Linked DNA regions of Saccharomyces cerevisiae S288C. The gene in region 1 interacts genetically with each later gene. Each region holds a gene or a part of one and is shown in the gene's direction. Other genes may lie near its edges. The genes, in order: STP1, RRI1, DAL81 and ARO7.

Region 1 (4,131 bases):
GTTATATCCGAGGAGCTTTAAAACATCAGGATAGTGTGCAACGTGGCATAAGCTATGTAATCAACTACTTTTTATTTTCTATGTACGCATATACATGCATTCACGATCTGTTTCAGTGTTCAGAAAAAAGGCACCTACTGCTACGGTTGGCCCATACCTTTATTCTTTGTTCTTGTTACAAACGAGTGTGTAATTACCCAAAAAGGAAATTTACATGTTAAATGAAACCCAGTAATCAGAAAAAACAGTTAAGAAACCTAAAATGGTAGAGATAAAGATACAGATTCAGTGGTTGCTGAAAATCAAGTAAAAAAATGAAATAGAGTCTTCATATATAAACCGCCAGAAATGAATTAATGAGAGGGATCTGTAACTGTTTCTCGGATAAAACCAAAATAAGTACAAAGCCATCGAATAGAAATGCAACCATCTACCGCTACCGCCGCTCCAAAAGAAAAGACCAGCAGTGAAAAGAAGGACAACTATATTATCAAAGGTGTCTTCTGGGACCCAGCATGTGTTATTGCTTAGTTTCTGCGTACAAAAACGTTGTTCTCCCTCCTTTATCTTCCTTTTCCGCTACACCAATATATCATGTTTGTTCGTAATATTTCTTTTTAGACCTAATAATAAATATCCTAAGTAACTATATTATATAAAATATTTTGATACCCTGTACCTGCTTTTGTTATCGTTGTACATCCATGCACACGCTCATATATATATATATATATATATATATGTATATGTACATATACCGCTTACCACCTACCGTGAAGTATATGTAAGGGTCTTCGCACCCGGATATCCCTTGTGGGATCTTGGATGCGGATGGTGAGTGTAAACAGGCCTCATAAAGCTGTCTCTGTGTGCGGAAGATGTCGTTTCATCGGCTTCGACCTCCTCCTTATCTTGCTTCATTGTTTCTTCGTAAGAGGGCGGATCTACGGGCAGCGGGGTCGCTGTCTCCTTGTATGCATGCTTATTTATATCACTCTTTCCGCTATCCATCATAATCTGTTTTTGTTTATGTGCTTTGAATACTCAACACATAAAATAATATCCAGTTAATTGTCGTCTGTCCATTGACGCTTTGCCTTTGTCCCTTTAGACTGTCTTTATTGTGAAATATGCACGGCTGAGAATTACGTATACAGTGACTATCGTATGGGGCGACAAAAGTTCCCAGCGAGAAACAAGATGAAGCAGACTGGGGCCTGCCTGTATGGAGGGAAGCATAAGTTAATATACCTCCAGATATTTGCAGATTAGGATACTGAACTGACGAAGACCTACGCTACACAACGAAGATAACACATGCTGGCACAAACATTCAAAAAACCACACAGAGCCGTTCTAGAACAGGTATCTGGGACCACGGTCTTCATCAGAAATAAGAGAACAAAGAGCAAGAGCTCACTGTCACCTTTGGCACAAAGGGTCGTCACGCAGTTGAGTGTGATGTCTGCAAGCAGAAAGCAGCCCAAGTTGCTGAAGCTGGCGCGTGAAGACCTGATTAAACATCAGACCATTGAGAAGTGTTGGTCAATTTATCAGCAGCAACAACGGGAGCGCAGAAATTTACAGTTGGAATTACAATATAAGAGCATTGAGAGATCTATGAACCTTCTACAAGAACTCAGCCCTCGTCTGTTTGAGGCTGCCAATGCTTCCGAGAAGGGCAAGCGATTCCCGATGGAAATGAAGGTGCCCACTGACTTCCCCCCAAATACGTTATGGCATTATAACTTCCGAAAATGATAGCGTGAGCGAACGCTTGACTGTCTCCTGCTGTAAATAACTGATGATCAATAGAATGCCACGTATATATGGACTTATATAATTATATGTACATAGACATATAAAGGGCATGTGGTAATTATGACATGAACTGTATCACTATTGACGTTTTTTTTACTGCTTTTTCCCATCCCTGCAAGCGAAAAAAAAAGCAAGCTGACTCTTGTATAAACTGCAAGGACTCATTGATTAAAAGTAGATTTACATTACAGACTAAAGGAAAAGGCAAACTATACCGGCTATACCACATTCGTTCAAAAATGCCCTCTACCACGCTACTGTTTCCGCAGAAACATATTAGGGCCATTCCAGGCAAGATATACGCGTTCTTCAGAGAGCTCGTCAGCGGAGTTATTATATCCAAGCCAGATCTAAGTCATCATTATTCTTGTGAAAATGCGACAAAGGAGGAAGGCAAAGATGCAGCAGATGAAGAAAAGACTACCACAAGTTTGTTTCCCGAATCAAATAATATAGACCGTTCTTTAAATGGTGGCTGCTCTGTGATCCCTTGCTCCATGGATGTCAGCGATTTGAACACGCCAATATCGATCACACTATCTCCTGAGAATCGTATCAAATCAGAAGTAAATGCCAAGTCACTGCTCGGATCAAGGCCAGAACAAGATACAGGCGCCCCTATCAAAATGTCTACTGGTGTCACAAGCTCTCCATTAAGTCCATCAGGCTCCACCCCAGAACATTCCACCAAGGTCTTGAACAACGGCGAAGAGGAGTTCATTTGTCACTACTGTGACGCTACTTTCAGGATTAGAGGATATCTAACGAGACATATTAAGAAGCACGCCATCGAAAAGGCGTATCACTGTCCATTTTTTAACAGTGCCACTCCTCCTGATCTTAGATGCCACAATTCGGGTGGTTTTAGCAGACGCGATACTTATAAAACTCATTTGAAGGCAAGGCACGTGCTGTACCCCAAAGGTGTTAAACCACAAGACCGTAACAAGTCGTCCGGCCATTGCGCTCAATGTGGTGAATACTTTTCCACCATTGAAAATTTCGTTGAGAATCACATTGAGTCTGGGGACTGTAAAGCTTTACCGCAGGGGTATACCAAGAAAAATGAAAAAAGATCTGGAAAATTAAGGAAGATCAAGACATCTAATGGTCATTCTAGATTCATATCCACTTCGCAAAGTGTTGTAGAACCTAAAGTACTTTTCAACAAGGATGCCGTAGAGGCTATGACCATAGTGGCTAATAACAGTTCGGGCAATGATATTATATCCAAGTACGGAAACAACAAATTAATGTTAAACTCGGAAAACTTTAAAGTCGACATACCCAAGAGAAAGAGAAAATATATCAAGAAAAAGCAGCAACAGGTATCTGGATCGACGGTAACCACACCAGAGGTAGCTACACAAAACAATCAAGAAGTGGCACCTGATGAAATCTCATCCGCCACAATTTTTTCACCTTTTGATACTCATCTACTCGAGCCCGTCCCTTCTAGTTCATCGGAATCTTCCGCTGAAGTTATGTTCCATGGCAAGCAAATGAAGAATTTTTTGATTGACATAAACAGCTTCACAAATCAACAGCAGCAGGCACAAGATAATCCTTCGTTCCTGCCACTCGATATTGAACAATCTTCATATGATTTGAGCGAAGACGCAATGTCATATCCCATCATATCCACACAAAGCAACCGTGATTGCACGCAGTATGATAACACAAAAATCTCACAAATCTTACAATCACAACTAAATCCAGAATATCTCAGCGAAAATCACATGAGAGAGACACAACAATATTTGAATTTTTACAATGACAACTTTGGGTCACAATTTTGATTAAATATAACACGGGATAAAAATAAGGGTATCATATTGGAAAGCCGATGGGTAAAAATTATTGAGTTAATAAATGGAGACAATATTAAAAATCAGGTAACAACAAATAAAAGGTTATAAATGTACTGCTGTATACTATATAAAAACTTTTAGCATGACTAATTAATTTTCATACTACTATGTTAAATAAACCAAGTGATTGCAACACCAATATTTTATTATTGATCTTCAGCGCATAGAGTCGATTCGTAGATATTATCACTTTTGACGTTTGTGATTTCTTTTTCATGATTGATTACCGATGATGCTATAACAAATAAAGGTCAAATTTTGAAAACAATGAAAAATAAGTAGTAAACAAATAAATGCACATTTATTGACACTAGTAGAGTGTAAGAGGAAAGTAATTTTTAGAACGCTTTATACACCTCTATCATTTATTTTTTTTTTGGTAAAAAAAAAACAGTAAGGTGTTAACCATATATCATATTCTGCCATGGCTTATGATGAA
Region 2 (3,551 bases), 1.3 Mb from region 1:
ACATTCTAATCAACGATCCATTAAAGGAAAACTATGTCAACCTTTTACCAAAGGAGGAAATATTATTTTTTGGCCCAGATGAAGGAACTGCTGGTTTCGTGGATTGGGCAACTAACCATGCTCGTGTGAGGAACTGCCCATGGTGGAAATCATTTTTGACTGGAAAATCCCCATCTTTGGGTGGTATTCCCCATGACGAATATGGTATGACTTCTCTGGGTGTTCGTGCTTATGTTAATAAAATTTACGAAACTTTAAACTTGACAAATTCTACTGTTTACAAATTCCAAACTGGTGGTCCGGATGGTGATTTGGGATCCAATGAAATTCTTTTATCTTCGCCAAACGAATGTTATTTGGCAATTCTGGACGGTTCAGGTGTCCTGTGTGATCCTAAAGGTTTAGATAAAGATGAATTATGCCGCTTGGCACATGAAAGGAAAATGATTTCCGATTTCGACACTTCCAAATTATCAAACAACGGATTTTTTGTTTCTGTGGATGCAATGGATATCATGCTACCAAATGGTACAATTGTAGCTAACGGCACAACCTTCAGAAACACCTTTCATACTCAAATTTTCAAATTTGTGGATCATGTCGACATTTTTGTTCCATGCGGTGGTAGACCAAACTCAATTACTCTAAATAATCTACATTATTTTGTTGACGAAAAGACTGGGAAATGTAAAATTCCATATATTGTGGAGGGTGCCAATCTATTTATAACGCAACCTGCTAAAAATGCTTTGGAGGAACATGGCTGTATTCTGTTCAAAGATGCTTCTGCAAACAAAGGTGGTGTCACATCTTCATCAATGGAAGTGTTGGCCTCACTAGCGCTTAACGATAACGACTTCGTGCACAAATTTATTGGAGATGTTAGTGGTGAGAGGTCTGCGTTGTACAAGTCGTACGTTGTAGAAGTGCAGTCAAGAATTCAGAAAAATGCTGAATTAGAGTTTGGTCAGTTATGGAATTTGAATCAACTAAATGGAACCCACATTTCAGAAATTTCAAACCAATTGTCCTTCACTATAAACAAATTGAACGACGATCTAGTTGCTTCTCAAGAGTTGTGGCTCAATGATCTAAAATTAAGAAACTACCTATTGTTGGATAAAATAATTCCAAAAATTCTGATTGATGTTGCTGGGCCTCAGTCCGTATTGGAAAACATTCCAGAGAGCTATTTGAAAGTTCTTCTGTCGAGTTACTTATCAAGCACTTTTGTTTACCAGAACGGTATCGATGTTAACATTGGAAAATTCTTGGAATTTATTGGTGGGTTAAAAAGAGAAGCGGAGGCAAGTGCTTGAGCTTCAATAAAATTGTTTTGTATAAATTAGTTCTGCCGTCAGAAAAGAAAATTAAACATATGTGTATGTTCTTCTCAGCGTTTTATTGTGTACTAAGTAAAGTTGTTTATATGTCCATTATTTTTAATCTAAAAAAAGCATTTGATATTTTTTCCTTCGAGTTATCCATTATACTAGGCAGTTCTCCTCAGGGAGCCATGCTTCAGCTGAAACTTTAGGAAAGGCGCGCTACGCAGGAAGCGCTCTTATTAAAGGGTTTTTCAAATAAACTAAAAATGAATAACAACGATCGAAAATCAATAAAAACTGCAGGAGGCAGCATGTCACTTTCAAATAAGACTGTAAAGGAATTACGACAACTACTAAAGGAAAGGTACACCGTGGAAGATGAACTAACTGAATCTATAGCGCTATCAAGTATGCGATTCAAGCCGTCGCAAGAACCTGAATTTCATGCGCTAAGCCAATCTTCCTTGCTCAAAACTAAACTAAAACAACAAAGTAGTACAGATATTCCGAGTTACACCCACGTACTTATATCAAAATTATCATGTGAAAAGATCACCCATTATGCAGTTCGTGGAGGAAATATTGAAATCATGGGCATATTAATGGGGTTCACATTAAAAGATAATATTGTTGTAATGGATTGTTTCAATCTTCCCGTAGTAGGGACAGAAACTCGCGTAAATGCACAATTGGAGTCATACGAATATATGGTTCAATATATCGACGAGATGTATAATCATAATGACGGTGGTGATGGGCGAGATTACAAGGGCGCTAAACTGAATGTTGTTGGCTGGTTCCATTCACATCCTGGTTACGACTGTTGGTTAAGTAATATAGATATCCAAACCCAGGATTTGAACCAGAGATTCCAAGATCCATATGTCGCAATTGTGGTCGATCCCTTGAAAAGTCTGGAAGATAAAATTTTAAGAATGGGTGCATTTAGGACAATAGAAAGTAAAAGTGATGATAATAGTGCCACTTCATACTATGAACTAGAAACAATCATATTTGATTCAGAATTGAACCGAGCGCTATTTGAAACAAAGTTAAACTTACATTGCGTAATAGAGGATGATGAGTCAGAACAAATATCATTAAATAGATTGATCGATTCAATGAAGCAGTATAGCTATTTGATGGATTCCAAAAATGTTAGAACAAGGATTAAGTTGGCTACTACCAGTGAACGTGTTAGCAACGAAAATAAAAAAAACATTGACTATCAAAACCGTTCAACAAGGTCTCAGTTCTGCCTCAATACGCAAAGGGGGGATAGCACTGAAACAAGCTCCTTTGGAAGCATGTTTTCAGGTGATAATACTAGTGACGTAGATATGGAAGATAGAAACCTTACCGAGTTCGACAGTACTGACACTAGTCTGTGCATAAACGGCGAACCGAGCATTCATGTAAATCGCGTGGAAAGAAGCAGCAGGTCTACCGACAATTTTCACAATTCTAAAAAACGCATGAACAGCAATCAGGAAAGATGTCATGATGAGGGCAATGATATGTTACAGAGAAATGTCTTGGAGACAGATTATGCAAGAGCAAAAAATCGAATACTTGCGTCAAAGATAAAACAATATGAGCGGTTACGTTTTTACAAGGACACCTTTACATTATGAATTCCTAACGTTGCTCCAATGACGCTGCAATAGCTTATGTTTATCTGCAACGTACTTTTAATAGTTATTCCTTCTTGAATCTCTATAAGTATATCTATACCGGGTGACAATTTGATATTTTCGTACGCCGTTATGTGTTGGTTTTTGGTCTTACTGATAAAATGGCATCGAGCTTACAACTGAAGAGAAAGACGATGCATCAGTCAACTTAATTCTCTAATAAAACAGACAGCATTTCCTCGGATCCATTTCGTACATATAAAATCCGAAGCTTTTCAGGACAAAATACTATTTTTCTGTCACTACTAAACGGGATAGTACTAAACGGGATAGTAGAGATAGCTGCCAAATAAGATCAAGAAATTGTGATTTTAAATACTTTATACGAAGATGGTGTACACAGGATTTGGTTTGGAGCAGATAAGTCCAGCTCAAAAGAAACCTTATAATGAACTAACTCCGGAAGAACAGGGTGAACGGGGTGCTGAAATGATCATGAACTTCATGACTTCCTGTCCTGGAAAATCAGTTGTGAGTGGTGTAACAGGGTTTGCACTGGGTGGTGTTTTAGGCCTGTTCATGGCGTCAA
Region 3 (5,452 bases), on another chromosome or scaffold:
ATACGCGAAATGCCAAGGAGTGTACGTAACTTCTACCAATGAAAAAGCTCGTTTGCTTGCAGCTGTCTGCAATCCTGAATTCATTGACACCTTCTGGTGCGAATTGACTCCCATAAGAGTCTCATTAAAGGAAAACCCTTCCATTTCTGTACCTCGAGAATATCAGATGTACGATCCGGTGGTACGTGCCACTATAAAGGAGGTTGTCACCAAGCGATTACTGCGATCCGCCTTCGATAATGACATCGACCCGCTAATGTGTCTTCATTTGGATAAAGGCTGGAAACTTAAATTCCCCATACTATCCTCGACAACGGGCCTAAACTTCTCCCTGAAGGATTGTCTTTCCCTGGACACAGGAAAAGATGCATCTGATATGACAGAGGTGTTTCTCGCTACTATGGAGTCGAGTAAAGTTCTTCGTACGTATAGCAACCTCGTTGACATTGTGATGAAGGACAATGGTAGGTTGGACTCAGGCGTCCTAAAGCAATTCAACGACTACGTTAAGCAAGAAAAGCTCAATCTACAACATTTTCAGGCCGGTTCCTCAAAGTTTCTCAAAGGCGCAAAGATATAATCCTCTTATATAGCATGTAAATAGAAAGTACGTAAAAAAAAGCTACTATTGACTTTATTCTCCGTGAGGGCGGTTCTTTCTGTAGCTGTTGGTTTTTTCCAGATCTTATGTGACACACCTGCACAACAATGTCATTCTCTGTCAGCTGCAAGACTCCCAAGACCACGAAGCTGCTGGTATCTTCTATTTCAGAGAGCGCTGTTGCTCTTATTATTATTACCATACGTATACTTTTTTCCATTGGCAAAAGCGATTTCAAAAAAATAATCTCCAAGGAAATAAATGGTGCAGAAACAATATACTACAGAAATATACCGGAAAGTAAACCCCAAGGGAGTTAGCACAAGATGAATCTAAGATTTGAATTGCAGAAACTATTGAACGTTTGCTTTTTGTTTGCATCTGCTTACATGTTCTGGCAAGGCTTAGCCATTGCTACTAATAGCGCTTCTCCGATCGTGGTGGTGCTTTCAGGCTCCATGGAACCAGCTTTCCAAAGGGGTGATATCCTTTTCCTATGGAATAGAAATACTTTCAACCAAGTAGGTGATGTCGTGGTGTATGAGGTCGAAGGGAAACAAATCCCCATTGTGCATAGAGTTTTGAGGCAACATAACAATCACGCGGACAAGCAATTCCTCCTGACCAAAGGTGACAATAACGCCGGCAATGATATCTCACTATATGCTAATAAGAAAATTTACTTGAACAAGTCAAAGGAGATTGTAGGGACCGTCAAGGGCTACTTTCCACAACTAGGGTACATTACGATTTGGATTAGCGAGAACAAATATGCCAAGTTTGCATTGTTAGGTATGTTGGGGTTGAGTGCTCTGCTGGGGGGCGAGTAGTTCGCCAAGTTTTTTTGGAACGATGTTTACGTACTTTGTATTTGTGCTTATGGTCTTTAACTTGTTTAATTATATAACCATAACCATTCGGTCCACGCTGAAAACAAAATATTGTCTTAGGACACGCTTTGAGAATTATTGAAAAAGGAGCTCCCACAGTGATGTAGGCAATTCAACAGAGATGATTTGTGTCATTTTTTATAAGGTGATACCGTCGCTCATTAACTCGATATCTTGAAAAGGCATATGTGTCGGTAATTGAGACCGCTAGGTTTAACTTCTCGAATAAAAAATGGTCTAAGCTGCATAAGCATATAGAATTGTACAATCAGTGTATAGGTAGAGCAGAAGCAGTCCAAGATTCGAGCTAATAATACTCATATAATATCCATCGCGATGGGTATTATATGAAACATAACAATCGTACATGGTGATTGAAAATAATAGATGATAAGAATCATTTTCAAATAATAGTGTAGATCTTAAAAACTCTTGGCCTGTTTAGACGAGCGGCAGAACGACAGGCAGCCATACTATCAAATGGACCCTCACCAATCACCAGCTGATAATGCCGCATCGCCTACGAAGAGCGTGAAGGCAACCACTAAAAATTCGTCCACGAATAATAATGTCAATAGCAACAACAGCAATAATAACAGTAACCATGATATACTGAATTTTAATGATAACTATACTACCATTCTGCAACATTTGGCAAACGACCATCCTAATATACTGAGGGAGAAAGGAGGATCACAACAACAACAGCATCAGCAGCAGCAACAACAGCAACAACAGCAGCAACAACAGCAGCAACAACAGAGCCTGGATACCCTTTTGCACCATTATCAAAGTTTACTCTCCAAGAGTGATAATGCAATAGCCTTTGATGACAATGTTAGTAACAGCGCAGATCATAATGGCAGTAATAGCAACAATAATAACAACAATAATGACATATCTAGTCCCGGTAATCTGATGGGATCTTGCAATCAATGTAGATTAAAGAAAACAAAGTGCAACTATTTTCCCGACCTAGGCAACTGTCTCGAATGTGAAACGTCAAGAACTAAATGCACCTTCAGTATTGCTCCAAATTATTTGAAAAGAACGTCCTCTGGGGCAAACAATAACATGCCAACCTCTTCAAACTCCAAACGAATGAAAAATTTTGAAGACTATTCGAATCGCTTACCCAGTAGCATGCTCTATAGACATCAACAGCAGCAGCAACAGCAACAGCAGCAACAGCGTATACAATACCCCAGATCCTCTTTTTTCGTCGGTCCGGCCTCAGTTTTCGATTTGAACTTGACCAAGCATGTAAGACTAGATAATGTTGACCAAATACAGCTATCAAAAACTTTATCATTAAGAAAGGTGTCTCCTACCGCACAGTTTATTCTTCAGGACGATTTTGACACGACCCTTCATAGTAAGCAAGAATACGAAGTTGATTTGGTCGAAAATCTGGTACATCCGCACGGTCACCTTTTAGTAGAGATTTTCTTCAAATTGATTCATCCTTTTCTTCCAATTTTACACGAACGTGTATTTTTGGAAAAGTATTCTAGATCTTATAGAGAACTCACTGCGCCTTTACTGGCATCCATTTACTCACTGGCATTACAATATTGGGATTTTCATCCTGCACTTTTGGGGTTCCCTAAACCCGATGTAACTGCTCAACTAAACAATATCGCATTGGAAACATTTTATGCTCGAGTTGGAAGGCCAAAATTGAGCATTATACAAACAGGCCTTTTGATTTTGCAATGCCGTAGTGAATGTCATAACAACTGGGTCCTCTGCTCCAGCGTAGTGGCCCTTGCAGAGGAATTGGGGCTCGGGGTTGAATGTAATGATTGGAAACTTCCCAAATGGGAAAAAGATTTGAGAAAGAGATTAGCGTGGGCAGTTTGGTTGATGGATAAATGGTGTGCATTAAACGAAGGTAGACAATCCCATTTAATTTTAGGTAGGAACTGGATGATCAAGCTATTAAACTTTGATGATTTTCCTCTGAATTCGCCCACTATTTTAAATTCCTTGCAAAATGACCAGTCGGGGTCTTCACCCTCGTCATCAAATGATGTGAAAAACCATCAGATAGCATTTGGTAACTTGCCCATATTTAACATAAACCCCACTTTAGAAGATTTCAAGAATGGAACGCTTATGTTTCAACAAATGGTTTCCTTGAGTATAATTCTTGGGGAAATCATGGACACATTTTACACTCAGGGATCCATGACAATAAACAAAAGCATTGAACAGGTATTGAAACTGGCAAAGCCGTTGCAACTGAAATTAAGAGAATGGTACCATTCCCTACCCAAGAATTTGTCAATGAGTTATGCCACGCCACAAAAATTGAACTCAAATTCAACTTTAACTCTAGCTTATTTTGCCACGGAAATTACGTTACATAGGAAAATTATCTGTGCCTTGAATCCTCAAACTCCAAAGGAACTGGTTCAAGTATGCAGGACTGCTGCAAGAACCAGGCTTGTAGCAGCAATTGAATTTATAAGAGATCTAAAAAACGAACATATTAATGCTTTTTGGTATAACTGCTCAACTGGAAATCTGATGCTAATTGGAACATTTGCTGCCCTGCTGTATGTGACTTCAGCTACGAAGGAAGAGGCTATGATTTTCAGAGATTATGTTAGAAATTATACCTGGGTATTGAAGATAGGTTCCAAATACTTTGATAAACTATCGAATGCTTTGAATAATATGCATTTACTATTTGCACAAATTCCTGGTCTTCTGACCGATGAACCGGTGGTCGTGAGCCCTAACTCTAACATCAATTCCGTTAACCCACAAAGGTCAGGTGTACAATCGCAAATCCCAATACAATTTAACGTGGGATCACCTGCCATGACCGAGCAAGGATCTCCTTTAAACCAGTGGAAGAATTTGCCCCAGGAAATCTTGCAACAACTAAACTCCTTTCCCAACGGTACGACCAGTACAACAACGCCAGTAAACCCCACTTCCAGACAAACACAACTAGAATCGCAGGGAAGTCCAGCCATAAATAGTGCTAATAATAATAGCAACAACACGCCTTTACCATTTGCGCCAAATAAGTCTTCTAAAAAAACTTCACAATCTTCACCAAATGTTACGCCCTCTCATATGAGCAGACACCCCCCCTCTAATACATCTTCACCAAGAGTCAATTCCAGCACAAATGTCAACTCTAATACACAAATGAATGCTTCTCCCTTGACCTCAATTAACGAAACCAGACAAGAGTCAGGTGACGCTGCAGATGAAAAAACAGCAGGAAGAGAAAGAACCGCCAACGAGGAATCATCAACGGAACTCAAGGACGATAATCCAAACTCGAACCAGGAAACAAGCGCAACTGGTAACCAAACTATAAAAATGAATGATGATAAAAATGTAACAATTAACACAAGGGAAACCCCTCTGTAATATAAATAATAGCACATAAGTAAAAATGGAATACGGTAATAACTATATAGAAATATCTTCTGCAGGACCAAGGTTACTGAGTGGTGAATGTAAAATTATTTATTCGCTTGCGTTATATTTACATGTGGTATATCCGGATGCATAGAGCCTACTATAGAAATTTTGGGATTTTATCATGTTCTTTGGCGATTTCATTCAAATCACCTGGTTGGTTCATCATCATATGGACATCACCACTTAGGTAAACCTTTTCATCTTCTTTTTTCGACTTTTCTAAATCTTTTAGAACATTCAAATCAGTGACAATCCCTTCTTTGTTCTTAACGCCAGCATCTGGAGTTTTTTCGATTACTTCTTTTTTTGCCTCGTCTATTATACTTTGCCAGATCTCTTCCAATGACTCTTCCTTAGGAACCACAATATCAGTCTCATCTTCCTTCATCCCAGTTGCGTTCTTGCCGACGATTCCTAAACGCAAATTCACAAGTTTCAATTCATCATCTGCGTCGAAGTCTACCTTTCCATTATTATCATGAACCCTCCGTATCAGCTCTTTCAATTTATCAAG
Region 4 (3,236 bases), on another chromosome or scaffold:
TGGAATACCATACATGATGATGGCACCTGTACACATGTCGCATGGAGACAGCGTCGTATACAAAGTGGTATCTTTGTACACTTTGCCCTCTAATCTCCCACAGTTTTCCAAAGTGGAGATCTCACCATGTAGTGTGGCGGATCCCTTTTGAAATCTCATGTTGTGACCACGACCGAGAACACTTCCGTCTTTGTTATTGATAAGACATCCGCCAATAGGAACACCACCCTCTTTGTAACCTAAGGCCGCCTCCTCATAGGCAATGTCCATACCCTTCTGATCCCACTTGCTTGCCATTCCCCCTGTCACCATTAGCTATGAAATTTTTAACTCTTTAAGCTGGCTCTCATCAACATAAAACAATGGCTTGTAGATCTCATTGTCGAATTGAAAATGAACTTTTTAATTTCGCAAAAAAAAAAAGAAAAGTTCAGGGTCTCCGGGTACTACCGCCCCTGCAAGGAATGACCGGTGATAATGGAAGAGAAGATATTACAGCGACAGTATAATTAACAAACACGTTGTGTCTTTAGGCTCGTAACTAACTGTACGTATATCTACACACCATAGGTCACTACTTGCAATATATTTGTTATGCTACACCATAAGTTCGTATACCCATTTTTATTCAAGTGGCACTTATCATGTGTAGAAAAGTGTCCCCCACAAATCACTTTTATAGCTAAGTATGCTACAGCGAACGATAAAAATGGCAATAGAAAACTTACGATAAGGGATGAACAATGGCCTGAGTTGGCAGATCCAACTCCCTATGATATTTTTGGCATTCCAAAGGCCGGATCTGGAAATCCTAAACTGGACAAGAAGTCGTTAAAAAAAAAATATCATCGTTATGTAAAATTGTACCACCCTGACCATTCCGATAACATTCAAATATTTAGCTCAGAAAAGGTTACCAACAGTGATAGTAAATCACCGCTGCTGCTAACATCAAGCGAAAAACTACATAGATTTAAAGTCATCTCTCAAGCATATGATATTCTTTGTGACCCAAAGAAAAAGATCGTATATGACACAACGAGGCAAGGCTGGACCACATCGTATTCACCACGTTCTAACGTTAATACTGAAAATTACCAATATGCCGGCTCTTATGGCTACCACTCTAACGCGCAGTATGAATACTGGAACGCTGGGACTTGGGAAGACGCAAATAGCATGAAAAACGAAAGAATTCAAGAAAACATCAACCCATGGACCGTTATTGGCATAATTTGTGGCCTAGCTATATGCATCGAAGGGACTGCGTTGTTAGCCAAAATCCAGGAGTCTCTGAGCAAGGCCGAATTTACTCATGACGAAAGTGGATTACATTTGATTCAGTCATACACGAATTATGGTCTTGATACTGACAAATTTTCCAGATTGAGGCGGTTCTTATGGTTTAGAACTTGGGGACTTTACAAGTCGAAAGAGGATTTAGATAGAGAAGCCAAGATCAATGAAGAAATGATACGCAAACTGAAAGCAGCTAAATGAAATCACCTATTGCGCCGCTCGCGGAATACAATTACTAAATTTTATATATATTCTTTAAAAATGCATCTATACATTCGTTTTTCCACGTATACCAAATTCGAAAAAAGTTGTTAAACCATCGTTTTCACGTTTTTTAATTTTTTTTTGGTTCTCTTTTTTTTTTTTTTTCAATATCAACTTTTTTTCAAACTTCGTGTTGCATTTCCTTTATCGTAAATTTTCAATGGATCTCTATAATCTTCGAAGTTCGAAGAAAAGAAGAAAAAAAGTATTGAAAAGTTGAAACATCGATTCCGTTTTGCTAACAAATAGCACTCAGCATCCTGCATAAAATTGGTATAAGATATGGATTTCACAAAACCAGAAACTGTTTTAAATCTACAAAATATTAGAGATGAATTAGTTAGAATGGAGGATTCGATCATCTTCAAATTTATTGAGAGGTCGCATTTCGCCACATGTCCTTCAGTTTATGAGGCAAACCATCCAGGTTTAGAAATTCCGAATTTTAAAGGATCTTTCTTGGATTGGGCTCTTTCAAATCTTGAAATTGCGCATTCTCGCATCAGAAGATTCGAATCACCTGATGAAACTCCCTTCTTTCCTGACAAGATTCAGAAATCATTCTTACCGAGCATTAACTACCCACAAATTTTGGCGCCTTATGCCCCAGAAGTTAATTACAATGATAAAATAAAAAAAGTTTATATTGAAAAGATTATACCATTAATTTCGAAAAGAGATGGTGATGATAAGAATAACTTCGGTTCTGTTGCCACTAGAGATATAGAATGTTTGCAAAGCTTGAGTAGGAGAATCCACTTTGGCAAGTTTGTTGCTGAAGCCAAGTTCCAATCGGATATCCCGCTATACACAAAGCTGATCAAAAGTAAAGATGTCGAGGGGATAATGAAGAATATCACCAATTCTGCCGTTGAAGAAAAGATTCTAGAAAGATTAACTAAGAAGGCTGAAGTCTATGGTGTGGACCCTACCAACGAGTCAGGTGAAAGAAGGATTACTCCAGAATATTTGGTAAAAATTTATAAGGAAATTGTTATACCTATCACTAAGGAAGTTGAGGTGGAATACTTGCTAAGAAGGTTGGAAGAGTAAGCATGAAGGCTATCACGGTAACAATTCCACATTGCCGAGTGATTACTACGCATATATAAACACACACACTCACCATATATATGTACGCATAGTAGCATCTATTGAATATAAGAAGATAGAGTTTCAAGTTATACATTATATTGTACTATTTTCTTAAACGATGGCTCATAAATTCTATAGGAATTATCAACCCAATAACCTCATCGCTAATTCAAAAGTAGCAAAAGTGGCACCATTGGCGGGAGCAGCTCTTAGCATGGTAGGACCAAACCCTTTGAAAAAAGCGCCTATCCCTCCATTGGCATATAAAGTCTTGGCTACACTGGAAATAGAATTACCAAATTTAGGCTTTTGTAAATTATCCGTTTGCATGACAGACTTGATGACATCTAATGGATATACCATCAACCATAAGGCAGTGCCAGACAATGCTCCAAAAATACAAAGTTTCCATGCAGGAATGTCCTTTCTCTCTAGTCCACGTCTTTTGTTCATTTGGTTAGCAATCAACGCTTCATACACTAAGAAATATGTGCCACATCCATGACCTTCTCTCAATATTGTAGGTGTTAAACCACGTAGCAAGGCCTTGTTATGTCTTAATTTTTTGATGCATTCCA

The links.
Region 2: mutations in STP1 (region 1) and RRI1 together harm fitness more than expected from each alone (negative genetic interaction), as found in Saccharomyces cerevisiae (2 studies listed by BioGRID).
Region 3: mutations in STP1 (region 1) and DAL81 together harm fitness more than expected from each alone (negative genetic interaction), as found in Saccharomyces cerevisiae (4 studies listed by BioGRID, with this or other methods).
Region 4: mutations in STP1 (region 1) and ARO7 together harm fitness more than expected from each alone (negative genetic interaction), as found in Saccharomyces cerevisiae (2 studies listed by BioGRID).

Annotation. Positions count from the first base shown.
Region 1 is NC_001136.10:1,384,756-1,388,886, forward strand, and holds STP1 (Stp1p), read left to right. Parts: upstream 1-2,060; coding exon 2,061-3,620; downstream 3,621-4,131. Other genes in the region: TFIIH/NER complex subunit TFB3, read left to right, coding at 1-21; MFA1 (mating pheromone a), read left to right, coding at 421-531; CMI8 (Cmi8p), read right to left, coding at 769-1,011; mitochondrial 54S ribosomal protein mL40 MRPL28, read left to right, coding at 1,318-1,761; SPP41 (Spp41p), read left to right, coding at 4,117-4,131. UniProt on the Saccharomyces cerevisiae protein: Transcription factor involved in the regulation of gene expression in response to extracellular amino acid levels.
Region 2 is NC_001136.10:68,408-71,958, reverse strand, and holds RRI1 (COP9 signalosome catalytic subunit RRI1), read left to right. Parts: upstream 1-1,639; coding exon 1,640-2,962; downstream 2,963-3,551. Other genes in the region: GDH2 (glutamate dehydrogenase (NAD(+))), read left to right, coding at 1-1,319; translocation channel protein TIM22, read left to right, coding at 3,353-3,551. UniProt on the Saccharomyces cerevisiae protein: Catalytic component of the COP9 signalosome (CSN) complex that acts as an regulator of the ubiquitin (Ubl) conjugation pathway by mediating the deneddylation of the cullin subunit of SCF-type E3 ubiquitin-protein ligase complexes.
Region 3 is NC_001141.2:397,806-403,257, forward strand, and holds DAL81 (Dal81p), read left to right. Parts: upstream 1-1,971; coding exon 1,972-4,884; downstream 4,885-5,452. Other genes in the region: MRS1 (Mrs1p), read left to right, coding at 1-580; YIR021W-A (uncharacterized protein), read left to right, coding at 709-921; signal peptidase complex catalytic subunit SEC11, read left to right, coding at 928-1,431; INA22 (Ina22p), read right to left, coding at 5,036-5,452. UniProt on the Saccharomyces cerevisiae protein: Positive regulation of genes required for catabolism of GABA (UGA4, UGA1, and UGA2), urea (DUR1 and DUR2), arginine and allantoin.
Region 4 is NC_001148.4:674,241-677,476, reverse strand, and holds ARO7 (chorismate mutase ARO7), read left to right. Parts: upstream 1-1,845; coding exon 1,846-2,616; downstream 2,617-3,236. Other genes in the region: FCY1 (cytosine deaminase), read right to left, coding at 1-312; JID1 (Jid1p), read left to right, coding at 595-1,500; YMC1 (organic acid transporter), read right to left, coding at 2,803-3,236. UniProt on the Saccharomyces cerevisiae protein: Catalyzes the Claisen rearrangement of chorismate to prephenate. Acts at the first branch point in the aromatic amino acid pathway where it steers biosynthesis towards phenylalanine and tyrosine, and away from tryptophan.